Macaca mulatta: one gene and its partners. The protein of the gene in region 7 purifies or fractionates together with the protein of the main gene of each other region. This does not show direct contact. Links are inferred from orthologs where the notes say so. Each region holds a gene or a part of one and is shown on either strand. Other genes may lie near its edges. The genes, in order: ACTL6A, BRD8, RUVBL1, MEAF6, EPC2, MBTD1 and MRGBP.

Evidence for each region.
Region 1: the proteins of MRGBP (region 7) and ACTL6A purify together in Homo sapiens (co-immunoprecipitation; 4 studies listed by BioGRID and IntAct, with this or other methods). This does not show direct contact. The link is inferred for Macaca mulatta from reciprocal best matches to the Homo sapiens genes MRGBP and ACTL6A.
Region 2: the proteins of MRGBP (region 7) and BRD8 purify together in Homo sapiens (affinity purification with mass spectrometry; 10 studies listed by BioGRID and IntAct, counting the BioPlex papers as one, with this or other methods). This does not show direct contact. The link is inferred for Macaca mulatta from reciprocal best matches to the Homo sapiens genes MRGBP and BRD8.
Region 3: the proteins of MRGBP (region 7) and RUVBL1 purify together in Homo sapiens (co-immunoprecipitation; 6 studies listed by BioGRID and IntAct, counting the BioPlex papers as one, with this or other methods). This does not show direct contact. The link is inferred for Macaca mulatta from reciprocal best matches to the Homo sapiens genes MRGBP and RUVBL1.
Region 4: the proteins of MRGBP (region 7) and MEAF6 purify together in Homo sapiens (co-immunoprecipitation; 4 studies listed by BioGRID and IntAct, counting the BioPlex papers as one, with this or other methods). This does not show direct contact. The link is inferred for Macaca mulatta from reciprocal best matches to the Homo sapiens genes MRGBP and MEAF6.
Region 5: the proteins of MRGBP (region 7) and EPC2 purify together in Homo sapiens (co-immunoprecipitation; 4 studies listed by BioGRID and IntAct, counting the BioPlex papers as one, with this or other methods). This does not show direct contact. The link is inferred for Macaca mulatta from reciprocal best matches to the Homo sapiens genes MRGBP and EPC2.
Region 6: the proteins of MRGBP (region 7) and MBTD1 purify together in Homo sapiens (affinity purification with mass spectrometry; 4 studies listed by BioGRID and IntAct, counting the BioPlex papers as one, with this or other methods). This does not show direct contact. The link is inferred for Macaca mulatta from reciprocal best matches to the Homo sapiens genes MRGBP and MBTD1.

The regions. Positions count from the first base shown.
Region 1 is NC_133407.1:91,570,710-91,574,942, forward strand, and holds the start of ACTL6A (actin-like protein 6A), read left to right. Parts: upstream 1-1,433; 5' UTR 1,434-1,613; coding exon 1,614-1,638; intron 1,639-1,787; exon of another isoform or gene 1,788-2,162; intron 2,163-4,233.
Region 2 is NC_133411.1:147,033,002-147,037,027, reverse strand, and holds the start of BRD8 (bromodomain-containing protein 8), read left to right. Parts: upstream 1-1,226; 5' UTR 1,227-1,268; coding exon 1,269-1,287; intron 1,288-2,211; coding exon 2,212-2,308; intron 2,309-4,026. Other genes in the region: kinesin-like protein KIF20A, read right to left, coding at 42-206. UniProt on the Homo sapiens protein: May act as a coactivator during transcriptional activation by hormone-activated nuclear receptors (NR). Isoform 2 stimulates transcriptional activation by AR/DHTR, ESR1/NR3A1, RXRA/NR2B1 and THRB/ERBA2.
Region 3 is NC_133407.1:155,874,757-155,878,256, reverse strand, and holds part of RUVBL1 (ruvB-like 1), read right to left. Parts: intron 2,020-3,500; coding exon 1,956-2,019; intron 569-1,955; coding exon 370-568; intron 1-369. UniProt on the Homo sapiens protein: Possesses single-stranded DNA-stimulated ATPase and ATP-dependent DNA helicase (3' to 5') activity; hexamerization is thought to be critical for ATP hydrolysis and adjacent subunits in the ring-like structure contribute to the ATPase activity.
Region 4 is NC_133406.1:203,284,204-203,288,333, reverse strand, and holds the start of MEAF6 (chromatin modification-related protein MEAF6), read right to left. Parts: upstream 2,801-4,130; 5' UTR 2,780-2,800; coding exon 2,690-2,779; intron 1,593-2,689; coding exon 1,477-1,592; intron 1-1,476.
Region 5 is NC_133417.1:53,760,105-53,763,604, reverse strand, and holds part of EPC2 (enhancer of polycomb homolog 2), read right to left. Parts: intron 2,358-3,500; coding exon 2,166-2,357; intron 1-2,165. UniProt on the Homo sapiens protein: May play a role in transcription or DNA repair.
Region 6 is NC_133421.1:58,742,390-58,746,363, reverse strand, and holds the start of MBTD1 (MBT domain-containing protein 1), read right to left. Parts: upstream 2,801-3,974; 5' UTR 2,615-2,800; coding exon of another isoform or gene 2,273-2,614; 5' UTR 1,946-2,272; coding exon 1,808-1,945; intron 1,771-1,807; exon of another isoform or gene 1,544-1,770; coding exon of another isoform or gene 1,523-1,543; intron 895-1,522; exon of another isoform or gene 202-894; intron 1-201. Other genes in the region: UTP18 (U3 small nucleolar RNA-associated protein 18 homolog), read left to right, coding at 2,273-2,614. UniProt on the Homo sapiens protein: Chromatin reader component of the NuA4 histone acetyltransferase complex, a multiprotein complex involved in transcriptional activation of select genes principally by acetylation of nucleosomal histones H4 and H2A.
Region 7 is NC_133415.1:115,606,517-115,610,813, reverse strand, and holds the start of MRGBP (MRG/MORF4L-binding protein), read right to left. Parts: upstream 2,801-4,297; 5' UTR 2,729-2,800; coding exon 2,581-2,728; intron 2,137-2,580; coding exon 2,015-2,136; intron 1-2,014.

The DNA of each region.
Region 1 (4,233 bases), on a different chromosome or scaffold from region 7:
TCCCATTTCCGACGCGTCACTTACCTTCGATTCTGACGCGGCAGGTTCCCGCGGTGATCGGAGGAGTTTAACTTCTTTTGTCTTTGTTAACGATCGACCGGTCTTTCGCGTCCTCTTCCTCACGGAGTCCCTCGTTTCCAGGCCCCACGTTTGGGCGCCACGAGTCCCGGCCCACGGGATTGTCAAAGCAGGCCCTGGAAGAGGGGGTGGGAATTTGGGGAACAAGAGACACGAGAAATGGAGACAAGACAGTATCCTGATCAAGTCTCGTTTAATGGCGGTAATGCAATGCCTTATATACATTTGGAGGGGAAGGGGTTGGGCTAAGGCGGAAATTACCTAAAAAAGGAAGGCGTGGCCAGATAAGCCTCGGTTTCTCCGGTCGGACGTCATGTTGCGCCTGCGCAGTCAGGTAGTCTTGTCCCAGGCGCGGGAAAAAAGAATGAAAAAGAAGCAGGAAGAGCGCCATCTTTTAATGGCGGTATTAATACAGGGAAGAAGGTAAATCTAGGGAGAAGATGTGGGGTGGAAATGAATATAGCTCAGGCATTTAATCTTTAATGATTATTCACTATGGCCGGGCGTGCAGCTCCGGACACTTCACCTCCTGGGTTCAAGCGATTCTCCTGCCTCAGCCTCCCAAGTAGCTGGGACTACAGGTGTGTGCCACCACGCCCAGCTAATTTTCGTATTTTTAGTAGAGACGGGGTTTCACTGTGTTGACCAGGCTGGTCTCGAACTCCTGACCTCGTGATCTACCCGCCTCGGCCTCCCAAAGTGCTGGGATTACACGGGTGAGCCACCACACCCGGCCTGAAATTTTTTTTTTTTTTTTAAGAAATTGATTTTTTAAATCGTTTTTAAAGCGCTACCTAGGTTTAGCTGGGATAATGCATCATTTCATTCTTCTTTTACTTATTAATAACCATTTTAAAAATTACAAGATCCTATCAATTTGTCTGATTTACTGATTCCCCTATCCCAAAGTGGAGCGCAAAATTTTTATTTCTTCAACCTAAAGTTAGTTTAAAATACTTTTTCTGAAGAAAAAAAGAAAGAAATCCACATTGCCCACAGTCACTGGACAGGAATCTCAGCGTGGAGACACACGTTCAATTTCCAGAAGTCTACCTTCCCCTACCCAGGTTCCCGCAGCTCCTCAGCGCCCAGCCGCACCTCTTACGCCCCTCCCATGCTTCCCTCCAGCCTTCCTCCTTCTTCTCCCACTGCCTCCGCCCACTCTCTCGCCCACCCGGGAAGCTCCGCCCGCTTCAGCTCCGCAACCCAACTCCTTCTGTCCGGCTGTCGCTTTCCTCTTTCCCCGCCCCCATGGCTGCCTTCGATTGGCTAAACCTGCTGGGCCGCGGCGGGGATGCGGCGCAGCCGCATTCTGATTGACTAAACGTAGGCCTGGACCCTCGTGATTGGCTGATAGGAGGAGACAGCAAGTGTAGCTGAGCTCCGGGGTGTGTGGACGCCGCTTTGTTGCCTGAGGGGGGTGGCGGTGGAAGTTAAGGGAGTCAGGGGCTATCGCTTCTCGGGACTCGCAGTCGCGGCCACTGCAGTCACTTCTCCAGTTAGCCCTTAGGGTAGGGGTCGCGCCGGCAGCAGCCATGAGCGGCGGCGTGTACGGGGGAGGTGAGTGAGTGCGGCCGGAGGAGAGAGCGCGCGTTTTCGGCGTGTGGGGTTTGTAACCGCCGCTCCCAGCCCTCCCCTCCTCGGCGTTCCCTTCCGGTTTCCCCCTCTCGGGACCCCGGCCTCCCCGCCCCATCCCCGCCCCACGCTCTGCCCGCCCCCGGAGCCCACCAGGCTCGGCCAGCGCCTCGGGCGCCCTGGAGTGGCGGCTCTCTGTGGCCGGTTCCTGCCTCTGCCCCCGGAGAAGCAGGGTTTTGGGATGCACGCTCGTTTCTCTAGAGAGCCTCGGGGCTGGGCGGGAAGCTCAGTCCAGCCGGCCGCCGGGCCCCGGGTTGCGTTACCGCCCCAGGGTCGCATCTCCACGAGTGCCTCCTGGACTCGGCTGTGTCGGGGCGCATGTGCTCGCGCCTAAACTTGGAAGGTCCCGGCGGTTTGCAAGCGTGGACGGAGGGTTCCCAGAGCGTCTCACAGGTGGCAATGCGAGCCTCAAGCCGTAGAACTGACTAGGGAAGCGGCGGCCACTTAGGGTACTGCCTCCTCCCTGTCTGTGCCCCATGCGCGAGCTGCCTCACCTTTCAGTAACTCCTGCCTGTTTGTTGGCTGCGGAGTCTCCAGAGTGACTCGTGGGCGGGTCTGTTTGAGATTAATTCAGGAGCACGTGTAGTTTAAGGATGCCCAGAAAGTTTGCCGGGGGTCCTAGGCGTCTTGTTTTTTCACTTATCCTTGATTAGACTGGTGTGGCAGAAAGATTACCAGGTGCGGGGGGTTACAGACCTGAGTTGAAATATCCGCCTCACTGTTGAGCGCTTTGGTCTTAGGCAATTTACATAATTTTCCAACTTCAGGCCTCATTTGTGGAATAATTCCTAGCCAATGGGGATGGGCGTAAAGGTTAAATGAAATAATGCTACATTTGCCACTTAAAGTCTGGTCCATGGACCAGCAGTGTCAGCATCACCTGCAAGCCTCTTAGAAATGCAGAATCTCACGCGTCATTCAAAATCTACTGATTTAGAGCCTCCATTTTTGCAAGATCTGCAGGTGAATCAAAACACTGATACATATAATTAATGTTTTGGGTTGTGTTTGATGAGTTAGAGACCCAGAAAACAAATCCAGACTATTGCTATTGTTGCTGTGTCTAGTAGTGATGCTGTTTCTATAAAGGATGTCATTTTACAGGTAAGATACAACAAAAATAAGATTTTTCCTTCATGTTCCCCAAGAAAATCACATCACCCCTAAACTTGGAAGGAGAAAAACATTTAAATCCTCAAAAAAGAAAAAAAGCCTTTTTAGTAGAATAGAGGTTCAATTCTTTTTTTTTTTTTTTTTTTTTTGAGACGGAGTCTCGCTCTGTCGCCCGGGCTGGAGTGGGCTGGAGTGCAGTGGCCGGGTTTACGTCATTCTCCTGCCTCAGCCTCCCGAGTAGCTGGGACTACAGGCACCCGCCACCTCGCCTGGCTAGTTTTTCTGTATTTTTTAGTAGAGACGGGGTTTCACCGTGTTAGCCAGGATGGCCTCGATCTCCTGACCTCGTGATCCGCCCGTCTCGGCCTCCCAAAGTGCTGAGATTACAGGCTTGAGCCCCCGCGCCCGGCCGAGGTTCAATTCTTGAGGATTTTTATACACTAGAAATTGCATCCTAGGTTTTAAACATCCAGAACTCTGTGGTTCTTTCTACTAAGCCTCCTGCCTCCCATTGCCACTCTCCTACTTAGGGTTCATGGGGCTTGATTTTTAATGAAGCAGGGTACAGGAATTAGATGTATCTCCCATCCTGAAAAAGGAACAGATGTAAAATTCTAAGAATTTAGAGTCTTAAATTAAACTTCCACCATATCCAGTTTACTAATTAGGGCAGGAAAATGAGCTGATATGTTGGATTTTTTTCTATTTCACAAAAATGTTTTTTGAGCACTATGTGGCAGGTATAGGCTGTTGTCATCAAGAAGTTCAGTCTTGTAGATGAATCCGTTAGGTAAATAGACACCATATTTCACCGATTCTTAATTGTACATTTTTCCCACATTTAAACAGCTGAAGTTGGAATATGTCTTTTGTTTGTTTGTTTGTTTTTAATAGAGACGGGTCTTGAACTCCTGAGCTCAGGCAGTCCTCCCGCCTCAGCCTCCCAAAGTGCTAGGATTACAGGTTTGAGCCACTGCCCCCAGCCGGAATATGTCTCAGTAGTGCTGGCCTGGCAGAGTTTTAATTGCCATATTATTTTCTTAGTGATGCCGGAAATAGTGGTGCATCATGTAGTTGATAGCATCTTATATTGATCAGAAATGGTAACTGTAATTCAATGAGAGCTGTTCATTGATAACAATATGTAGAAGGGGCCAGGTGCGGTGGCTCACACCTGTAATCCCAACAACTTGGGAGGCTGAGGCGGGCGGATCACTTGAGGCCAGGAGTTCAAGATCAACCTGGCCAACATGACAAAACCCTGTCTCTACTAAAAATACAAAAATTAGCCAGGCATGGTGGCACATGCCTGGAGTCCCAGCTACTGGGGAGGCTGAGGCACAAGAATCACTTGAACCCGGAACTGCACTCCAGCCTGGGTGACAGAGCAGGACTGTATCCTAAAAA
Region 2 (4,026 bases), on a different chromosome or scaffold from region 7:
GGATGTCACTTTCTGCCCCAGCCACTCCCCAGTTCCTTTACCTGCTGCTTGTCCTCTAGGGAGGTAGAGATGACAGAGCAGTCTGACAGCAGGTTCTTGCGTACCACAGACCCCAAATCTGCAGCTGTGGACTCAAACATGGGAGAGACTACGACATCGTCATCGGACAGCAAGCCCGCTGGCGGAGAAAGGATCCCTTGCGACATGACGGCAGGGGCAGCCTAGGTCTAAAAAGAGACCAAAAAGTGGGCAGGGAGAAGAACCTTTAGGGACAGAAGGGGCCGCGAATTTTAGGTAATAAGTCCCTTGCCCCAGGACACCGGGTCCCGCTCCCTACTTCCTTTCCCCTCTAATTATCGGCAAAGGGGAAGGGAATGAGAGAAGTTCACTTAATGAACAATCGAGAGAAGTTTGAGGTTGCATTTCTGAAAGCGAACAGAAGTCCACAGAAATCTGGCTCCAAAAGCAAAAGGCCAGGCCTAAAGTAGGGCACCTCGCCCGCCGGTGCTGTGGAGGTGGTGTCAGGATCCCTCGGCTCCTTTTCTAACCTCAAGGACCACCGTGAGAACAGAGATGCAGCATTAAGAGAAAAACAGATGGCTGCAGTTCCGATTTCTTAAAGCCTATTCCGCGTGGGCAAGAGCTGGTAACCCGGGCTCCAGCACAGCCGCACACTCACCCGAAGACGTGCCACTTGCTCCTCCTCGGGTACCGGCTCACTCACACCTAGTCGCCGAACCTGGACTTTCGCAGCCGGAGAGCACAACTCCGCCCACGAGGTGCAGCTTTGTTACCGATACAATATTTTAAATTACGCGCTGCGTTCGTTCGGCCAATGAGATAGGGAAGTCTGCAGCTACCAATCCGCGTAAGGAAAAGGGGCGGGTCCGACTGGAATTCCAGTAGTTTGCATCCGCTTGACCTCTCAGATCTAATGTGGGTCCGGGTTACCAACTGTCGCGGGTTAGGAGTTATTTCGCTTGGGATTCTTCCAGCTTAACCCTTTTTCTTGAACCTTAGACATTTCTTACCTAAGAACCCTAAAGGAAATCTTGAGGCTTCAGCCGCCAACCCCTGTCCTTCCTTAGCAAAAATCTTAAAAGGATTGCACAAGATAACTGGTTTAGGGTGCTTGCTTTGTCTTAGGGGAAAAAACGACATTTCCCAGGAGGCACCGCGAACCAACGCCGGTACTCTACTTCCCAGAATTCCAGGGTTTCGGCCCTACCAGACCGTCTCTCCTCAGGGTTGGAGACTTCGGGGCCAAGATGGCGACGGGAACGGGCAGTGAGTATCTGAGCAGGTTTTGCGTGAAAGGCGTTTGTAGATCCGAGGCTAGGCACCATATTTTTGTTACACGCTTAGGGAGTGGGAGAAGTGGTTTGCTTGAGAGCTCAGGGTTTTCAGAGACCTGCGCTCCACAGCATCGTGAAGACCAACGTTTGGGGGCCCAGAAATCTGGGGTCTTGTTTCTCAGGGAGGGAGCGGAGGTGTGAGAGAAGGAGCTTAGTGAATCCTAGTGTGTTAGGAGCCCTTCGGGGTAACCGTAAAAGCACTCTAGAAACTTGGGCGTGCAGACGAAAAGATGTTATGAGCCAGACGGAGTAACCGGCACCTCAAAGAGCCATTCATTTTTTGTTCGACGTTTGTGAGGCAGTGGAAGTGGGGCCTTTTAACCATGAGCTTTTCTTGCCACTCAGGAAATTGCATCTCGGGGATTTCAGCCATTTTTCTTTTAGTGGACTGAAAAGGTCTTTTAGGCCCGACATTTGGAGTAGAGGATCTGAGAGAAGTAAACAAGTTTATGCTAAGAGGGAGGCGGGGTTGTAGGAGGGGCTGGCCGCTCGGGTTCCTGGGAAATAAGCCCTGAATGAGTTCAAACTGGAATAAAGTCCAGTGTTCTTAAAACTGGGCTTTTAGGGAGAACTGCCTAATCTGACATTCCCAATTTTTTAATAAAGCGGAGCTTCAAGCCGTGGCGTTTTAAGAAATAAAATGTTAATAATTCACATGCAACAAATTGGTACCACGGTCACTGGTGATACTTCACTTGGAGAGGTGAAAATCAAGATTTGGTGATAGTAGCTCACTTTGTCCTAACAAGTTGGAATATTTTGTATTAGGCTTTTAGTCCCCTTTTTGGGGATTTTGGAGCTTAGCACTACAGTCTCAGTGGTTGCTTCCAAGGCTTTTTTTTTTTTCGTTTCCCAGAACACAAGCTGCTGAGTACTGGCCCCACAGAGCCATGGTCCATCCGAGAGAAGCTGTGTTTAGCATCTTCTGTCATGAGAAGTGGAGATCAAAATTGGTAAGCTATCTAGGATGTCAGCTTTTCTGGGTCTTAGAAATTGTTAGATACTCTTTCACATTGATAGATTTCTGTAGTTAATCATATTAAGCTGTAAGTAGACTTTTTCTTCTTCCCTTTTTTTTTTTTTTTTTTTTTTGAGACAGTCTCCTTCTCTCGCCCAGGCTGGAATGCAGTGGTGCAGCCACGCCCAGCTAATTTTTTTAGTTTTTAGTAGAGACAGAGTTTCGCCATGTTGGCCAGGCTGGTCTCGAACTCCTGACCTCAGGTGATCCACTGGCCTCAGCCTCCCAAAGTGCTAGGATTACAGGCGTAAGCCACTGCGCCTGGCCATGCCTGGCTAATTTTGTATTTTTAGTAGAGACAAGGTTTCACCATGTTGGCCACGCTGGTCTCAATCACCTGACCTCATGATCTGCCCGCCTCGGCCTCCGAAAGTGCTGGGATTACAGGCGTGAGCCACTGCTGCCGGCCTTTTTTTTTTTTTTTGAGACAGGGTTGCACTTTGTGGCCCAGGCTGGAGTGCAGTGGTGTGATCTTGGCTCACTGCAACCTCCATGTCTGAGGCTCAAGTGATCCTCCCACCTCAGCCTCTTTAGTAGCTGGGACTACAGGTGCACACCACCATGCCCAGATAATTTTTTGTATTTTTTTGTAGAGATAGGGGTTTCATCATGTTTCCTAGGCTGGTCTTGAACTCCTGGGTTCAAGCGATCTGCCCACCTCAACCTCCCAACCTACTGGGATTACGGGTGTGAGCCACCAGGCCAGCTGTATTTTTTTTTTTAAACAGCTTTATTGAGATATAATTCACATACTATAAAATTAACTTACTTAAGATGTACAATATAATGGTTTTTAGTATATTCACAGTTGTGCAGCCATTACCACAATCTAATTTTAGAACATTTTCTTTATTTTTATTTTTTTTATTTTTTATTTTTTGAGGCTCTTGCTTTGTTGCCCAGGCTGGAGTGCAGTGGCGCAATCTTGGCTCACTGCAAGTTCCGCCTCCTGGGTTCATGCCATTCTCCTGCCTTAGCCTCTCGAATATCTGGGACTACAGGCGCCCGCCACCACGCTCAGCCTATTTTTTTTTATTTTTAGTAGAGACGGGCTTTCACCATGTCAGCCAGGGTGGTCTTGATCTCCTGACCTCGTGATCAGCCCACCTCGGCCTCCCAAAGTGCTGGGATTACAGGAGTGAGCCACCGCATCTGGCTGACATAACGCTTTTAAGGTTCATTCTTATATAGCAGGTATCAATACTTAATTCCTTTTTTAGCTGAATAATAATCTGTTATATGAATATACCAAATTTTGTTTATCCATCGCTTGATAGACAATTGGGTTGTTTCCACTTTTTGACCATTATGAATAATGCTGATGATACGCACATTTGTGTACAAGGTTGTGGACAATGTTTTTAATTCTCTTGAGTTTTTTATTCAAGGAGTGAAATTGCTGGGTTATGTAGTAACTCTATTATGTTCGCTTTTTTTTTTTTGCAGACAGGGTCTCACTGTCACCCAGGCTGGAGTGCAGTGGTGCAATCTTGGTTCACTGCAACCTCTGCCTCCTGGGCTCAAGTGATTCTCCGGCCTCAGCCTCCTGAGTAGCTGGGACTACAGGCACATGCCATCATCCCCGGCTCATTTTTGTATTTTTTGGTAGGGATGGGGTTTTGCCATGTTGCCCAGGCTGGACTTTTTTTTTTT
Region 3 (3,500 bases), on a different chromosome or scaffold from region 7:
GAAAAATGATGTCAATAATGCCTACCTCTCAGAGTGCAGGTGAAGCCTGAAGACGTTCATGTGTATAATGTCACCAAAGGCTAGCCCTGTCTGATCTCACCTTTGTGCACGCCAATTGAATGACCAGATTGTAGTATCACACCCCAGAGATCACATGGGAGACCCTCATCATGAGTGAAAGGGCAGCTGCTGCCTTTGGTGACTAGGGAAATGAGACCAGAGGCAAGCCACTTGGCACGTTTTCCTTCAAAAACAACGTGACCTCCCCTCATCCCCATTCCACCTCGTGGGGTTTAGCGAGATCCTGAGGAACAAACGAGCCCAGCTGGAAGGTAAAAAAGCCTTGTGGCTGGCAGGCAGCCATCCTACCTGATGACACAGTTGCCTCGGTTGGATGCAAAGATGACGATGGGGGCGATAGAAGACTCCAGAGCGCGGTGCAGGTAGGTGAAGCACTCAATGTCCAGCATGTGGACCTCATCAACAAACAGCACACCCGGGACCAGCTCAGCAATGCCCTGGTCGATGTACTTGTTCACCACCTTATTAATCTCCCCTCGAAGTTTGTCTAGGAGATGCAAGGATCGGCAGGCAAGGTCAGCACAGGGCTGGGAGAGACTATCGCCTTTTCTCCTCCACCTGAATTCAATCCAAACCCATGCTGGGAGCCTAGTTTTCCTACTAGCTATGTGATCCCTGACAGGGTGTGTCCCCCCACTCCAGGCTTCAGTGTCATCATCTGAACACAGTGATAATCACACCTAAAGGTCACAAAATTGGTAGCCTCCCCCAAAAGATGTGTTTGGTTAAATGTAAAAAGGTAGCACGGGTGTTCTGCATGGGAATCCCTTCACAGCACATGCTCACTGCTGTCACACTCCCTACCATGCCTTATCACCTCCCACACACCCAGTGTAGCTCTGTCTGATCTGGGAGACACTGGAGTTTAGGAGCCCTGAGTGAAATGAGTTTTCACATGCAAATTTTCCTATTCTATACTCAGTAAATGACCCTTTCTTTTGGTCCCATACAACAATGCTTAGGTTAATTAACTTTCAATCAAGTGCCTGGAATAAGGAAGTGGGTGCTTTTAGAATCCCGAGCAGAAACCTTCGAGGAATGAAAGGCTCTGAAGAAAGGCCCAATCTCAGAGCTCCTAGAGGGATGAGTCTCTCAAAAGTTACATAACCCAGCTAAGGTCTCAGTGCTCATTTTCCAAACCAGCTCCTGTGTTATTGTCAGGAGGGAGCAGCTCACAAACAGAAAACTGGAAGATCTGAGGCAGCGTCTTCCACCAAAGGCACAAGGCCGGGATTGTCCGAAGAGGATGCACACTGAAAATCATGTGAAAAGAAAGAAACTGCTCCTGACAACTCAAACAGAAAGGTCTCAGATTGCTGCCCTGGCTAAAACTTTAAAGATAATATTTGCTTTAATGTTTAACTAACATCTTAAAGTGACGAAATTGTAGGTAGAATTAGAAAAAAACAGCAACAGGAAAGCTGGGAAGAGCCGCAGGGTAAAATAAAGGTTCACAGGAGAGCAGCAGCAGTGTCCCCTGTGGAGCTCTAGGAAGAGCCCACGAACTGGGCAGGGCAGTGCGTGGAGCTGGTCTGTGAAGCTGCCCTGTGCTCTACTAGGGAGGGGCTGACAGCACCAAGGCTCCAGAGTCTGTGCTCGGGCAGAGCTGGGCGAAATAAATCCACATTTCTGGGGCCTCATAGGGACCAGAAACTGTGACTGCAGTGGGGCAGAGACCACACAGTGTGCTTGCTGTATGGCTGCCTAAATAATGCCAGAGACTAAGGCTAGAGTCAAGCTCTGAACTATGAGGAAGAAGGAACTGTTCTGAGGCATTTTCTCAGGGTGGATGTGCTCACAGAGCCGCAAGGGCATCTCAGAATGTAGGGCCCTCCACCCTGCCCCTTGCTCGCAGGCCACGCTGGTTCTCCTACCTGTGATTTCTGTCTTCTTTGGCTTCATTAGCTGGCCCATCATGGACAGGATATCTTGTCCCCCCTGCATAAGAGAAGACTTAGAGTCAGTGCTGCTTTGTAAGGTGACTACAGAAGCCTCATCCCCCTGCATCCCACTCATCAACTCAACATGGGATCCTGAGGTAAGGAGACCCCTCCTCAAAGCCTGAGGAGCTTCTAAACACAGAGGAATTTTTAGAGGTTCCCTTGACCTGTAAGAATCAAACAAAATCCTTTCATGGTAAGTATAAGCTCCGTGGGGCCTGCCCAGCCTCCTTCTCCAGCCCTATCTTTTTCCAATCCCTTGTTCCTTGATTAGCCACATGAGACTACCAGCCCTGCCCTGGACACCCGCAAGCTCTTTTATGACTCGATGCTTTTGAGTCTATTCCATCTGCCAGGAATGCCATTCTCCTTCCTAGGAAGTTCCCAGTCATTAAAGTTCAAGTCAAATGCCCTCTAGGGGGCATTTGACCCTAACCAGACTCATGACTTCCTCCCAATGTTTCTGTGCCTTTGGGGACACACGGACTACAAGAGTAAGTATAAAGAGTAAGTATAAATATACCATGATTATACTGCTGTGCCTCCTCTCACTAGATTTGACCACAGGCTTGCATCAGCCTAGTCCTTACTTAACCTAGAGCTACTCAGTCTATGGGCCCCTCCCTGTGGAATGGCTGACTCCATAACAGGTTCACCACTCACCTGCATCCTCCTATGGGCTCCTAAGAGTGCAGTCAGCAAGAGGAAGAGGCTGGTGTTTGGTCATTTGTTCAGCATTTAGTGATCACCTGTTAGTTACCAGGCCCTGAGACACAGAGGTGCTCACTAAATGCTGAATAGCTAAAGGCAGCAAATGTTTCCTGTCTGGTCCTCAAAACTGCCTTGCCAGGTAGGAGAAAACTCAAAATCAGAACCCTAAACCACAGAAAACCCAGAGACCCAAAGTGACAAATTAACCAAGCTGGTCAGTGATGGAGCAACACAGTTCCTGACTTCTGACTCCCAGCCCAACACTCTTCTCAGGTCAAGGGCTCCCAGGAGTTCAGTTTGCGGATGGCCACTTCACCAACCGAGGGGACCTGTTGCTCCAAAATAAGTCTTCAGTAATCTCTTGACCAAAGCTCCAAGGAACAAAACACCCACGGATCAAATTTCAAGTCAGAAAACAAACTATTCCCTAATAGTGAAGAGGTCTTTTTTAGGATGAAGAGGAAACCAAACTGCAAGACCATCACAAGAAACAGTGGTGTCTTGTTTCTTTTAATCACATATTTCCTACAAATGCTGTAAAGTGATAACATCCTTTCCTACATTTTACTAGTCAAGGCATAAGTATCCATCTGCATGAGAAGCAGACAACAGTACCAGCTCAAAGCTAAAACACTGTGGCTTTTGCTAAGCAGGGGGAAAGAAAGAGCTTTGTCAGGCTTTCTGAAATCCTGTAACGGGCTCACAGAACACTCCTGCCCTCCTGCCATTAACACCCAGAGAATCCCAGGCGTGAGCCCACTGCTGGAG
Region 4 (4,130 bases), on a different chromosome or scaffold from region 7:
AGAGTTATATAAAACACACCTATTGGCCGGGCGCGGTGGCTCAAGCCTGTAATCCCAGCACTTTGGGAGGCCGAGGCGGGCGGATCACAAGGTCAGGAGATCGAGACCACAGTGAAACCCCGTCTCTACTAAAAATACAAAAAATTAGCCAGGCGCGGTGGCGGGTGCCTGTAGTCCCAGCTACTCAGGAGGCTGAGGCAGGAGAATGGCGGGAACCCGGGAGGCGGAGCTTGCAGTGAGCCGAGATCGCGCCACTGCACTCCAGCCTGGGAAACAGCGTGAGACTCCGTCTCAAAAAAAAAAAAAAAAAAAAAAAAAAAAAACACCTATTGGGGAAAACTAGATGAAGACTACAAAAGACCATTCTGCCAACTCCCTATGAATCTATAATTATTTCACAATTTAAAAACGTGAAATGTAAATATAGGTGTGTGCTTATATTAATATTATAGAGAGTAAGAGAAAGCAAATGTCACAACACATTAACAATCTGAATACAGGTAGGACAGTATCAAGTGTTCATATACTATTCTTCCCATTTTTCTATAACTTGAAGATAATCCAAAAGTTTAGAAATTTTTTAAAAATATTACTAAGCAAGCAGTGGTACAGCTGGCACACAGGTATGGCAAAAATTGTGAGGGTCAGTTGGGCGTGGTGGCTCACCCCTTTAATTCCAACACTTTGAGAACCTGAGGCAGGAGGACTGCTTGAAACCAGGAGTTCCAGGCCTGCCTGGGCAACAAAGTGAGACCCCACTTCTACAAAAAAAAAAAATGTTTTTAATTAGTCAGGTGCAGTATTGTGTGCCTGTAGTCCCAGCTAATTGAGAGGCTGAGGTGGGAGGATCATTTCAGCCCGGGAGTTTGAGGCTGCAGTGAGCTAAGATTGTGCTACTGCACTCCAGCCTGGACAACAGCATGAGACCCTGTCTCTTAGAAAAAAGAAAAGTGGCCAGGCATGGTGGCTCACACCTATAATCCCAGCACTTTGGGAGGCCAAGGCAGCAGATCACCTGAGGTCAGGAGTTCAAGACCAGCTGGGCCAACATGGAGAAACCTCGTCTCTACTAAAAATAAAAAAATTAGCCAGCCATGGTGGCATGCGCCTGTAATCCCAGCTACTCAGGAGGAAAAAGAAAAAAAGAAAAGAAAAATACTGTGAGGGTAGAACTCACGACTGATTAAAATGTGTAAAAAATTTAATAGAGTGATGTTGTATAAAGATATTGTTATATGCTGTATTTAAGCCTCACACAACCCTGTGCCAAAGGCCCAACTTTTGCTATTTTACAGATGTGAGCTTTGTCTAAGATTATTCAGTGAGGCAGTGCCTGAGCCAGAGTCCAAGAGTTCAAGTCCAGACCACACCACCACTTTACTACTGCCTCTAGCAAACTTGCTACTAAGAGCCTACAGTCCTACAAACACACACAATAGGAACACAATAGGAACACTACAGGCTTTCGACACTCACTTTTGGTTGGTCAGATACCGATCCCAGCCACGAATAATATTGCCATACATCTGAGTGTCTTCCAGGTAGCTTCCCTCAAAAGCATAGATCTGTCGCTCCAAGTTTGCCAGTGTTTCCTGAGAGATGAAAAACAAGGACATGAATAATGCCTTTTAAATGCAAACACTTAAGTCTGACCAAAATGAAATCCTGATATTAGATTTGTAAACGCAAGCTTGTCCACACTAAATCACCCTGTGGAGAGATGGATGATATGGGGAGGAGCAGCCGTTTAGGACTAAGACAGTCTAGACCTTTGGGTGTGATGGACCTCTGAATGTATAAAGCATGTCCCCAGAAAAATACACACACACGCGAAATTTTGCATATACTTTAGAGGATTCACGGAAACCAGGAGTCAAGAACCCAGGCTAACGCAGAACTTGTGCGATATCCACTCCCACGCACAAAAGGTATCGCTACCAGGAGAGGGAAGGGTGAGCAGCCTTTCAGCGTCAACTCGCTCCCCTCCCCGCAGGCTCAGAGAGGCCGCCGGCACCGGGCTGCCAGTTGCTATGGAAACCTGGAAGGGCAGCTTCAGGTGAGAGGGGCCTCCGGGGTGCCCAAGCCGAGACGTGAGGGCAGGAAGAGCTTAGCCACCAGGGTGCATTGGGCCTTGGGTGCCTGTCACAATTCCGAATTCTCCAGAATGTGTTCTTCTCCCTCGCCTGTCACCTTCTAGATATTCCCAAACACATCACAACCCTGTCTATCAAAAGCCTCCATTCAACGGATCTACTACTAGTACCAAAAAGAACACGCTCCCCACCATCCTCCAAAGTCCAGACAGGGTGACTCGGTCCCCCTCCCACACTAGCCTCCTACCCCACCCCCACCCCGCAAAGATCACGGACTCGCCCGCCTCGCCCTTCCTAGCGCCCTCTCCCCGAGTCCCGAGCCCCGGCACCGTCCTCCCTCCACGCCCCCTCCTGCGGCTGCCGCTGCCCCTCCCCCTCCCGCGCTCCCAGCTCCCTCCCGGCTCCGGATTCGCACAGCCGGGAAGCTGAACCGCCGGCGGGCCGCAGAATGCGCACCCGGCCTCAGGCCGCCGAGCACACAGCCCGCCGCGCCGCGCCCCCGGAGTAACGAACGGCCTGGCGCAGCCGGGCTTGGGGCCTGGAGGCGGGGCGGGCGCGGAGCCCCATGCCGGGCAACCCCGGTCCTAGCCCCTCACCGCCAACTCCTGCTTCCGCTTCACGAGCTCCGCCAGCTCCCGCCGGGTGTCCGGGATCTGCGGCGGCGCCGCCTTGTTGTGCATCGCCATGTTGGGCTGAGGCGGGCGGCGGCGGCGCGAGGTTGGGGGCGGTCCCTGCGCCGCCAGGGGGCGCCCCCCGCACTGCGCCTGCGCGCGCGGCTTCCGGAGACGCGTGCAGCGCCGCGCAGAGGTGCTCTGCGGCCGGGACTCTGGACGATCCTTCTCGGAGAGGTCCAGAGAGTCGGCTTCTGCTCTGCCCTTTACGCCGTTTCCTGCCCCTCGGCTGGCCGCGGGCTTTACAGACGCCACAAATCTACCGTGTCCAAAGCCTAGCTCGTCCTCAGGCCTCCGAGTCTCCTGTGCGTCCCGCCTCAGTCCACTTCAGTGAATGACTTTCACTATCCACCGCAATTGCCTGCGTCAGAAACCCGGTTTTCCTCACTCTGCACCCGGAGTAAAACGCGATACCAGGTCAAGCCCTGTGGATTCGACTCCGGAAGAGCTCGCGAATCCATTTGCTTGTGCCTGCGCCTTTTGCCACCTTCTTAGTTCATTCAGGCCCTCCCTGTTTGGGGCTACGTTATTCCAACAGCTTCTTTATTTCCACCTTTAGCCCCATTTAATCCACTATCCACAGTGGTGCCGGAATCTTCCAGAAACAAATGTTATCACTCCCCTGTTTAAAGCCTTTCAGTGGCTTCCCATTTTCCCATTGCCCTTTGGAGAAACAAGTATGTGTAGTGGTTAAGGGCACAAAACTGGAGCGAGAACTACCTTGTTCAAAATCCTATCGCTACATCGATAAAGTGTGCCCCTTTGGGTAAATAACCAAATCTCAACTCCCTCATCTGTAAAATGAAAGCAGTGATAGAATCTACTTAATACAGTTGCTGTGAGGAGTAAATCAGCTAATGTGTGTAAGGGGTTTGGCAGGTGCCAATGACTCTGCAAGTACGAATTCGCTTTTATCGTTAAGTCCAAGGTGTAGACGTTGTTTTCACTTGGCCCCTGTTGATTTCTCCCTCCTCAGCTCTCCATCTTTCACTCTTCTGCAATTTCGCTATCATAAGTCTAAGTGGGATATTTTTTCTTTTTGTTTTGTTTCTTGCTTGGAAGTCTTTGGATTTCTATAATCTGTGGGTTGGTATCTTCCACCAGTTTTGGGAAATCGCAGTCATTTTTCTTCAGATGCCTGTCTCATATTCTCTCTCTTTCTGGAACTCGAACATAAGAAACCTTTATTTTTAACCTACCGTCTATATTTTCTATCTTTTTGTCCCTCTGTGCTGCATTCTGAATAACTGGTTTCGTGTGCGGATCTTGTAACCTGCCATCTTGCTGAACTTCCTTACTAATTTTAGGGGGGTTTTGTATAGATTCCTTGGAATTTTTTACATAGATAATTTCATCTGCAAATGGG
Region 5 (3,500 bases), on a different chromosome or scaffold from region 7:
GTCTCCAAGTCCTGGGCTCAAGCAATCCACCTGCTTTGGCTTCCCAAAGTGCTGGGATTACAGGCGTGAGCCACAATGCCCAGTCTGCAGCATCATTCTTTTTTATTTATTTATTTATTTATTTTTTTGAGATGGAGTCTCCCTCTGTCTCCCAGGCTGGAGTGCAGTGGCGCGATCTCCACTCACTGCAAGCTCCGCCTCCCGGGTTCACGCCATTCTCCTGCCTCAGCCTCCCGTGTGGCTGGGACTACAGGCGCCCGCCACCGCGCCCGGCTAATTTTTGTATTTTTAGTAGAGACGGGGTTTCACCGTGTTAGTCAGGATGGTCTCGATCTCCTGACCTCGTGATCCGCCCATCTCGGCCTCCCAAAGTGCTGGGATTACAGGCGTGAGCCACCGCGCCCGGCTGCAGCATCATTCTTAAAGGGCTGGGAATATATAGCAAAACTTTCTAGGCTCTCATTAGTACCACCAATAAAAGCCTATTTTACATACAGTTATCTAACTATGTCATTTTCTTACTTAACATTTTAAATAATTTCCCATTATGTATAATGTAGATAGAGGCTATCTGACATCTGGGTATTACTGCAGGCATCAAGCCTTTCATCCCCTCTTCCTCTTCTATGTTATGTGCTCCAGCAATGCTAAACTGCTAGGAGTTCCCTCTAGTATGTTGTGCCTAGAACCCTTCCCTATACTTTCTATCTTGAAAATTACTCTTTTGTAAGGCACTATATCCCTCATTCCTTCAAACTGGTCATCTGATGAATGTCCCATGGCTGTTCAAAGCTCTGCCTGAGTCAAACTAGATGATCCTCTGACAAAAGTAATATATGGGTTCATTAAGCACTCCTCAAGGAATAAAATTAAGCATATCTTTGCACATTTGATACTATTCATGACTATCAGAATATTATCTGGGTAGAAAAACTAATCAGTGAAAAAAAAGAGTAAAACTAGTATAATCCAGCCAAAAGGGACACATTTTATGCAAACTCCAGATTTTAAATGGTTATAGCAATGAAGAGTTTTATAAACAGTCCTGCTTTCAAACATATCTATAATGTTGGTTTTTTAAAAAAAGTTTCCTTAAAGCAAACAAGTCAAAAAGTTAAAATATGATAAAGCTGGCAGTAGGTTCAAGGTCTTTGTTACAGTATTTTCTGTTAAGTTTCCTATGCTATTTTTAAAAAGATGGTATTGCTAGAGCAGGTGATACACAATATTTTTTGAAAAAATGGATCTTTCTTTTTGTTTGTTTGTTTTTTTGAGACAGAGTCTTGCTCTGTCGCCCAGATTGGAGTACAGTAGCACGATCTCAGCTCACTGCAAGCTCTGCCTCCCGGGCGCACGCCATTCTCCTACCTCAGCCTCCTGAGTAGCTGGGACTACAGGCACCCGCCACCATGCCTGGCTAATTTTTTGTATTTTTAGTAGAGACGGGGTTTCACTGTGATAGCCAGGATGGTCTCGATCTCCTGACCTTGTGATCTGCCCGCCTTGGCCTACCAAAGTGCTAGGATTACAGGCGTGAGCCACCGCGCCCGGCCGGATCTTTTAATATATAAAGTAAAAGTCTTATTTTAAAAACAGCACTTATAAAAATAAATATTTTTTAATTGTGCACATTTTTCTATAAAGCTGTTGCAATATTTATCAAAGAGTTAAAATCTGAATCAGTCCCTTTAAGTCTTTTTTAAAATCAAACAGCCATTACCTAACAAATTAGCAAAATTTGCATTAAAAGTTATAAAACACAATGCTGGTGGAGTGTGGTAAAAAGGAAAGTATTGTTGATATTTTCAATATTTACAATTATATATTAACTGTCTTAAAATATTGATAATTTTTGGTTAGTAACTAGTAATTCAATTACTAAGAATCTATTTTAAATACAGAGGGAAAAGATCTAAGTTCATTTTTATAAATGGAAAAACTGAAAACCATGTGCTCCACAAGAGAGTAAATTCTATACAACTGATGAAAGATAATACAGAGTAAATACCATTTCAGTGGCTACATAAATAATGTGGAAATGTTTATGCTACATACATTAGGGGAACAAAGCAAGAATAAAAACTCTAAGATAGCAATTGCTTTAAAAATATAACAATACAAAATACTAGCAGGAAATATCTTTAAAATAGTTTTAAAACAAGCACCTGTGGAAATTCATCTTCATCTGAGCTGTGAAAGTCATATTGCTTAATGTCACTCTTATTGATCACAGGCAATGTCTCTGGAGTGGGTTGCTGAGATGTTATCAAAGCCTCTGCTTTAGGCTTCTTTGGGTACTTCTTCTTTTGACGAACCACATCAGAAGCCTCTTCTTTCAAAGACAAATGATGAGGGTGCTGTTTACATGACGATTTTTCCCCCAAAAGGAAGAAATAAAAATCATTTTAGAAATCATGAAAAACTATACTGCTCTTTGAAAAACATACATTTTTACCCAGGAGGTGATTTTATTATTTTTAATATGCAAAAATTATTCTGTGTTCATAAATTGAAACATGTTTTACTTTCTGCAACTTATGATGAAAAATAATTATGGTATTTAAATTTGCTTTTTACATTATTATTACTACTTTAAACTATGTGAGGAATTTTTTGGATTGCTCTATTATGTAATCCAGTATTTAAAAGGTATTTAAATTCAATTTTTATTTAAATCTGCTGCACTGATAAAAATTAATCACTATTTTTAAGTTTCTTCAACTGGATCATGAGTTTATTGTCATTTCTACACTTAGATCCAATTTTTTAAAATGTGTGTTCTATGGATGTAAATCTTTTGAGAAAAATAAGCTTAACTAGGAAAAAAAACCCCTCACTTTTTAGAATGTATAATTACTGCAGCAACCGAACAGTAACTGTTCTGAAGTCCCGCAGGCTTCTGTGGAGGTTCCTGAGAGGCCATCTGGCAAAGACACTCACTGAAGGGGTAGTGCCCCTACCTCCCCTCAACAGAGCAGCTCTGTTACTGTTTTAACATACTGGCATTCCTTTTAATAAAAAGGGATCTGCCACTTTAAAAGTTGGAAAAGACTGTTCCAAGCACCAAGGTACAAACTACAAAACTTATACTTTTCCACATCTAGTCCAGATGTTAACTACTTTAGGGTCAAAAACAGTACACACAATAAAAATATTGTTTGAAAGGCAAATTATATTTAGTGAGATATAAAATTTTTCATATAATGGGCATAACTATTACATCAAAAACAAAGCCCCAACTTTCAGAAACTTCCCACATTTTCAAGTGGAATACATGACAAAGTAAATATAGTTAACTATGTGTAATGGAGTAGGACAACAATGGATGCAACCAAATTCCTAAAGTTAGTATTTAGGAAGGCTGAGTATTTATTCATAGAGGAAGTCTAAAATGAGAATCAATATCTAATAAAGGCTGATTCTGTCAGTAATTATGGGTTAAGATTTTCATACTGCAATGCTTAACAATCACATACCTAGGAAAAGCACTGATTAACACA
Region 6 (3,974 bases), on a different chromosome or scaffold from region 7:
GCACAGCTCACCAAATGAAGGATGAATGTTAAAGAAACACCCAGTGACAATAGTTTCAACTGACCTATCTCAACCAGCCAGGGATAAGTACTGGTGTATGCTAGTGTAAGGAGAATTAAAAATATTGTAAACTCTAAACAAGTATTAAAATGGTCCATAAATTTCAAATCTCATAAAAGATAGTTACTTAAAAAAAAGGAGTAAAAGCATTTGGAAGAGGGACCCCTGGAGGAAAGACTAGCTCCCGAGGAACACAGGTCAAATGGGTGGGGGCGGTAATCATCTAATCATCCCTCTATCAGGTGATGCTTCAGTACCATCCCTAACAGTTTTAGACATCCTTAGGAGAAGTGATTTAGGTAATCCGCAAATGTGTTTTGCGATACAAGAACCACGGAGATGACGCTGAAATTTCTGACTTCAAAAAGATGCACTCGTGAGAGAAAACAGGCATGAAATTCCCATATTGTAATTATTTAGCTTCCTGTAGAAAAAACACCTTCAGGCATGTAAGGCAGCACATTTGACACTGACCCAGCAAAGTTTTCGGCTGGCCCTCACTATCTCTCAACCCCCCCTTCCTCCACTTCCCTGCTGTTCTTTCCTGGCACACAAAATATAGGCCAATGAGCAGTGGGTGGGTGAGGAGGATGTGAGAGAAAATTTGAGAAGTAAAAAAAGGAGCAACTTAACCAGGACATGAATGAGAGACTGAAGGGTCTAACAAGGGTAGGCAGACAACAATTAGAACTACTGAAAAATGGGCTTTCCAGGGCAGTAGTGAGCGCTCAGTGCTTTTAGGGGTTTAAGCAGGGGTCAGACTACCTACCCCTTGTCAGAGAGGCTGCAGAGGGGACGGCTGCTTTAGATGACCTCTAATGTCTCTTCCGACTCTGAAATGTTAGGATTCTTATTTCACAAAGGAGAACGCAATGGTCATAGAAGCCCACCGACTTGAAACCCTTTTAAATACGCAGCCTTGGAGGCTGCTTCCCAAACACCACTCCCACCTCTCCCGCACGTGCCCACCCCGCCCCCTTTCAATATTTCCACCTCCACGTGCAAACCGCCTCGCGGCACTGGCCCCAAGCCGGACAGACTCCTACCCCTGCAAAGCACCAAAACTATGCTCTCCCTCCCCGCGAAGAAGAGAGGACTACTCCACTCTCCCACCCTGGGTGGCTAAAAAAGGAAAAGTCTCGGATCCAGCCTTTCCCCCCTAGCCAGAGCAGGGGGCGGGGGCAGGACGCAGAGAAAAACTTTCTTCTCGAATTTTTCTTCTAGAGGGTGGAGGAGATGGAGAGAACCCCAACGAGTCCAGGGCTGACGGGGTGGGGGGAGGGGAACCCCTGAATCGTTTAACGGCTGGAAGGGGGAGGGGGGGCTCCGGAGATTGAGGGGGCGTGGGATGGAGAAGCAGGCCAGGGAGCAGGGTCAGGGAGCTGCGGGGTTCCTGGGGTCGGGGAGCTGCAGGCGTCCCCCCCACCTGGCACACAAAGCGGCTGCCGCGCTCGGCTCTCACCAGATCCTTTGTGTTTTCCATCAGGGCCTCATGGGTAGGGGTTGTCCGTGCTCCCCGAGCCCGCGGCGCCCCCTCCCCGGGCTGGGGGCAGGTGCCTCTCCCCGGGACTGCGGCGACTACAGAGGGCCCCCGGCTGGGCCCAGACCGGTGGCGGCTGCGGCAGCCCCCGGATTTCCCCCCTTTAACTCGGGTGGCCCCAGGATATCAACAACATTAGCATAGCCCTCCCTCCCCAGCGCGCCTGCGCCGTGACCCGCGCCCCGATTGGCCCACTTCCCTACATACCCTCCTCACTCGCTTCCAGCGTGGGACCCTCTGCAGGCTCCGTACTCCAAGGACCGTACCAAGACGAGAGGTGGAAAGCGCATTGGAGCTTGTGTTAAATCCACTGGTTAAAGTCAACAGGAAAAGCAGAAGTTTCATTCAGCTGTCCGAGTGTATACTCGGGCTTTCTTGCGCTCCTTTCAATATGTTGCAGCTGCGAAGTTGTGTTGGAAAAATTTTCCACTCCAGTCACGCCGCTTCCCCCTACACCCGGAAGATTGGCCCTCCCGGAGGAACTCCCACACGGGGCGGGGCTGGGTAGGGGAGTGAGAGTTACGTAGAGGGAGGGAGTGCGGGTCACGTGGCAAGAGGCTGCGCAGGCTCCTTCCGGCCCCAGGGGCTTCGGCGGCGGCGGCCAGGGAGGTGCCTGGGCGCATGCGCAGCGAGGTTCCACGTGAGCGCCTGCGTTTCTCCTCAAACCTAACGATGCCGCCGGAACGGAGGAGACGAATGAAACTGGACCGGAGAACCGGAGCGAAGCCGAAACGGAAGCCCGGAACGAGGCCGGACTGGAAAGCCGGAGCAGGGCCAGGCCGGCCTCCCCAAAAGCCTGCCCCTTCATCCCAGCGGAAACCGCCGGCCCGGCCGAGCGCTGCGGCCGCTGCGATTGCAGTCGCGGCGGCGGAGGAGGAGAGACGGCTCCGGCAGCGGAACCGCCTGACGCTGGAGGAGGACAAACCGGCCGTGGAGCGGTGCTTGGAGGAGCTGGTCTTCGGCGACGTCGAGAACGACGAGGACGCTCTGCTGCGGCGTCTGCGGGGCCCGCGGGTGAGGGAGGCCGCGGCGCGCGGGCTGGGCGCGCTCGGGCGGGGCGCGCGGTGGGCGGTGAAGCTCTGGGGGGCGGAGCCTGGGCGACCTGCGGCGGCGGGGAGCGCTCAGGTGGGAGGGAGCCTGAGAACGCGGGCGCCGAGGGTCGCAGCTGCGGGTCCTTCGCCTCCCTGCTCCAGACTGAAAGTGTCTGGAGGGCGGGGACCGCGCCTTTCTCCGCCCCCGGAGGCGCCGCTGCTCGGGTATCTGCTTTGCGAACTGTGGTAGTGAGCATCTTTCGCCGCTGCTCGGCTCCGCTAGCCTCTCCCCAAACAATGTGGTCTTTTGATCACCTGCCTCAGTTCCTTGTGATCTAGGAATTCCATTTCGTTGATGGAATCAATTCGTGGGCACGGGCCTGGGCATCTGCGTTGTAACTATCTCCCCAAGTGACTGTGAGACCCACAGGATTTTGAGAATGATCGTGAATTTCGTTCATTTAGCAAATATTGGGGAACCTGTTGGTTGCCAGATACCCTCTCTGGCAATGGCAAACCCTGCGTGATTCATCATACTTTTTGCACACATTTTGCTATCCATTTAATTCTATACCAGGCTTTTCTTGAGAGTCCCAGACATTGTTCTAGGCACTGGAGGAGACACAGCAATGGACAAAACTGACAAAAATCCCTGCCTCTTGGAGCTTGTATGCTAGTGGCAGAGACAAGATAGATGAGATAAACCGGTAAACTTCAGGTTTGTTGGTGACAAGTGCTGAAGAGAAAAAAGGACATACGGTAAAGGGAGATGAGCGTGTCTAGAGGAGGCCTGTGAAATTTTAGATAGGGGGCGGAGGAAAGCGCACCGAACATTACCCAGTCCATGTTTCTTACACAAATGCTGACCCATCTAATGTCAGCTGCTTACCAGAGCCTCCTTCGGGTGCTTGTGGGAGAAGTGGCAGCAATCTATTTGGGAAGTACAGAACTGCTACTGGAAACTGAACTTTGTGACAGTTTTGTCGTCTGGAAAAGGAAGAGTGTACTGAGGTGGGAGCTGTTGGGTTTGAAGTCTGTTTATTAGACTGGTAGTAGAGCAAGTAGAAACCACTTGGACATTTCTGTCCTGTGGTTTTGGGAAGCTCAAACTCACTTCAAGGGGTATTCTATGGTTTAGGTTTTTTTTTTTTTTTTTGAGACGGAGTCTCGCTCTGTCGCCCAGGCTGGAGTGCAGTGGCCAGATCTCAGCTCACTGCAAGCTCCGCTTCCCGGGTTTACGCCATTCTCCTGCCTCAGCCTCCCGAGTAGCTGGGACTATAGGCGCCTGCCACCGCGCCCGGCTAGTTTTTTGTATTTTTTTAGTAGAGACGGGGTTTCACCGT
Region 7 (4,297 bases):
GCCTACGGTCTCACCAAGAGACTGCACACCTGTGGGTCCTGCCTGCCCACCACGACCTACGGTCTCACCAAGAGACTGCACACCTGTGGGTCCTGCCTGCCCACCACGACCTACGGTCTCACCAAGAGACTGCACACCTGTGGGTCCTGCCTGCCCACCACGACCTATGGTCTCACCAAGAGACTGCGTTCCCTAAGGCGGTGTGCAGAGGGCACGGTGACAGCCCTGGGGAAAGGCCGCAGGCACCTCGAGTTCTCATCCACATGGCAGGAACCCATGGACACTGAGGGTGTCAGTTGGGAGCGCCACAGGCACAGAACCAGGCAAGGAAGAAGAGCAGATGGAGCAGGGCCACCCGAGTGCTTGCCAGGCACTGCCCTCCTGAGGTCACACAGACCAGAGGGAGAGACCGGGAGCCAGGGAAAAGTGGAGCTGGCGGGAAGGGCCCTGGACTGGGAGGCGATTCAGGAGACAGGGGCTTCTACTCGGCAGTTTGGGTGCTGTATGGAACAGGCAGTCAGGCCACATTTGTGCTCCTCAAAATCTCCTGGGCCAGCTGGTCAGCCTCTCGGGGGTACTCCAGGGGCTCTGTATTTCATAAGGTCTGAAAGACTCAGATCTCAGTCACACAGAAGTGTCATGGTCCAGAGAAAGTGCCAGCCTGTGGTCTTGCCCAGTCCTTACTGATGTCATAGGCCACTGCAGGAATAAGGAACAGGGCCACAGTCCTAGGGCTGAAAGGCCTGGCGGTCCCACATGGCTTCCTGAGTGTCATGTGGGCTGCTGTGCTCATCTGAGCCAGCACCCATGCCCCAGGGGACATTATGGGCCTTGGAGCTGTTTGTCTTCCCCAGAGACAGGCATAGATTTACACCGATCTCTCCAAATCCCGGTGTGGGAGGTGTCTGGGGACCTAGCGCCCTCTCCCACAACCAAGAAGCTGCTGGGAGTTTGGTGACAGGGGGCCTCTGACCCTGAGGGGTGGTGACCAGAGTTCAATGGCTGATGGATACGCTCTAGGGAGGAGCGGGTCCAGGGAGGACCTTGTGAGCTTAGTAGCCAGCTGTGTCTGGGCCACTAGGTACTGGTCACCCAGTGCAAATGCCGCACTGGCTCAGAACGTCCTCAACACACGAGGCGGCAGCAACAGGGGCTTAAGCTTCCAGGGCATTTCTAGGGCTGAGCATCCTTCCTCTCCTCAGACAGCCAGGCCCCTGCACGGCTGGCATCTCTGTCCCCTTTCTACAGCTATGACAAGGAGACCCACATCACTCCACCAATGTCAACGGCAAGCATTCCTTGCCTCAGTGGTGCCCCTATGTCTTCCTGGAAGGGCTGGTGTGGCCCTGAGTCCAGCGTGGCTGGCACAGACTCTCCTTCCACCAGCACAGGTCCCCACTCCTCCTGGTCACCTGACCCCTGACCCCCACCCCATTCTCCAAGCACACCACCTTCTTTCAACTCCTGGACCCACCACCTCCTGCTGCCACAGAGCCTGCAACACCCACCTGTCTCTTGTGGCCAGCCTGCTTACCTAGCTAACGCGCTCGCCCGTCACACACTGCCAGCTCCAAGCTCTGTGAGGACTGGGACTCTATTTGCCTGACTCCCACAGAAGCCACCAAATTCACCTTGGTGTGACTCAGATAGGGTCACCCTCTGCCTAAAGCACTTCTGGGGCATCCCGGGAGGCTGACAAGGGCCTAAGGGCCTGGGGACTCTGCATCCTTCCCTCCCTCCCCAGGGTCTCAGCTGGAGGCTCTGGCCCAGCACCCAGTCTAAAGCAGGCCCCCTGAAAAGCTGGCCAGCTGCTAGCATTGTGTTTGTGCTTTCCATGACAGGCTCTGGAGCCCTGGGATGCCCTCCTTAAGGATGGGTCTCACTGCAGGGGGCTCTGCCCAGCAGACCCCAGCAGGCATGGAGGGGCCTCTGCTCTGCCCAGCTCAGGCTGACCCTCAGCGGTGTGTGGGTTCGTGCCCCCATCGGGCAGCACAGGGAGGGTGGTTGGGCTCACCAGTGCCTGCATGTCGTACATGGTGCTCAGGTGGTCCCAGATGACCTTGGATGGGACCTGCCGCCCGATGTTCTGGCTGAACTTGTCCCGGATACAAATCATGTGGAAGTGTCGGTTCACACCTGGGGGGAGGAGGGGCGGCGGGACAACCGGTCAGAGGGGAGGAGAAGGAGAAAGGGGATGGAGGGGACAGGGTGCCCTGGGGACTGGAGGGGCAAGGGTGGCCGCGGTGGGATGGGGTGGGCCAGGGTGCGGAGGGGCTGTCGGGGGGCAGGGCTGGGTGGTGTGTGTGGGAGGGGGTGGGGCGTCCCGGGGCAGAGGTGGGGGTGGGGCGCTGCGGGCTGGGGCCTCGCGGTGTCACGGGGGTAGGGGCCGGGGGCGGGGTCCGGGGCGGGGTCCGAAGGGCGCGTGGGAGGGGGCGGGGGTCCCGGGACGGGTGTGGCGGGGGTGTCACGGCCCGGGCTCGGCGGGGCGCGTGGGGGCGCGGGTGTCGCGAGCGCAGGCCCCGCCCCGCCCCGCCGGTTGCCCGCCCCGCCCCCACGCGCGTCCGCGGCCTGGGCGCTCACCGACGGGCTTGTGGCCCAGCATGGCGTGGAAGAGGCACACCTCCACCTCGGGGCTCCACACCACTGTCTCCTCCGCCGGGCTGGTGGCCGCCTCCCCTGGGCCCTTGTCGCCTGCGGCGCCCCCGCCGCCCACCTCGGCCTCTCCCATGGCCGCGGCCCGGCCGAGCAAGGAGCCCCCGGCGGGAGCAGGCGCGGCCACGAGCTCCGCGCAGGCGCACTCGGGGGCGGGCGCGCGCTCCGCCAGGCACGAGCTCGGGCTCACGCGCCGGCGTCGGCGCAGGCGCAGCCGAGGCCTCGGGTTCCTTCCCGCCGGGGACTCCGCCCTGCTCCGCCCCGTGCGGGGGTGCTTAAAACGTGTTCCTCTTTAAAGCACAGTAAGTGTTCTAACACTTCACCCAAACAACAACAGAAAACTTTTTTGCTTCAAAGAAAACCATCAGCAAAGTGAAAAGACGACCCACAGATTGGGAGAAAGTATTTGCAAATCCTGTATCTGATAAGGAACTTCCTTGCAGAAGGTATAAATATAACTCTATAATAAAAAGACAGTCTAACTATAAAACGGCAAAGGATTTGGATACACATTTTTCCAAAGAAGATGTACAGATGGGCCGGGCGCGGTGGCTCACGCCTGTAATCCCAGCACTTTGGGAGGCCGAGGCGGGAGGATCATCTGAGGTCAGGAATTCGAGACCAGCCTGGCCAACATGGCATAATCCCGTCTCTACTAAAAATACAAAAAAATTAGCCGGCCGTGGTGGCGGGCGCCTGTAATCCCCGTTACTTCGAGAGGCTGAGGCAGGAGAATCGCTTGAACCCGAGAGGCGGAGGTTGCAGTGAGCGGAGATCGCGCCATTGCAATCCAGCTTGGGCAACAAGAGAGAAACTCCGACTCGGGAAAAAGAAAAAAAAAGATGTATAGATGGCCAATGAACACCATCGGTCACGCGAAACGCGAACCAGCCCGCGTGGGGACCCCCTTCCCCGCCGAGACCGCCGCAACTACGCGGCCGGGGTGGCGAGTACTGCGAGGATCCGGACTCGGGACCCTCGTGCGGTCGTGCTGTGGGGCCAGATGGAGTCGCTGCTGCGAAAGACAGAACGGCCGTTCCTTCAACGATGGAACCGTCTCCCTAGGAGGCAGCAGCTCCGTGGCGGGCGCCCGCAACGGTGGAACAAGACACAGGTTCAGGCTGGGATCCGCAGCCGCAAGGCTAGCGCCGCCCCCAACCGGGGCTGAACCGGCTAGGGGCGCACGGAGCGCGGGCACCCGCACGGCGCAGCCGCGTTCAGCCTAAAAGCCGCGAGCGCGGACTGCGGCAGCGTGGGTGCGGGCTGAGACGAAAGTCAGAGAATTCAGACACCAAAATACGCAGCATGGGAATCCATTCACAGGAAGAGCCAGAACTGGCAACTCCATAGAAATAGAAAGTAGACGCACAGTTGCCGGGGACGGGGGAGGGGGAGGGAAACGCGAGTCACTGCGGATGGGGATCGGCTTCTTTTTTGTTTCTGAGGCAGAGTCTCGCTCTGTTGCCCAGGCTGGGGTGCAATGGCGCGATCTTGGCTCACTGCAACCTCTGCCTCTCGGGTTCAAGCAATTCTCCCGACAGACTCCCGAGAAGCTGGGACCACAGGCCCTCACTACGGCCGGCTAATTTTTGTATTTTTAGTAGAGATGCGGTTTCACCATGTTGGCCAGGCTGGTCTCGAACTC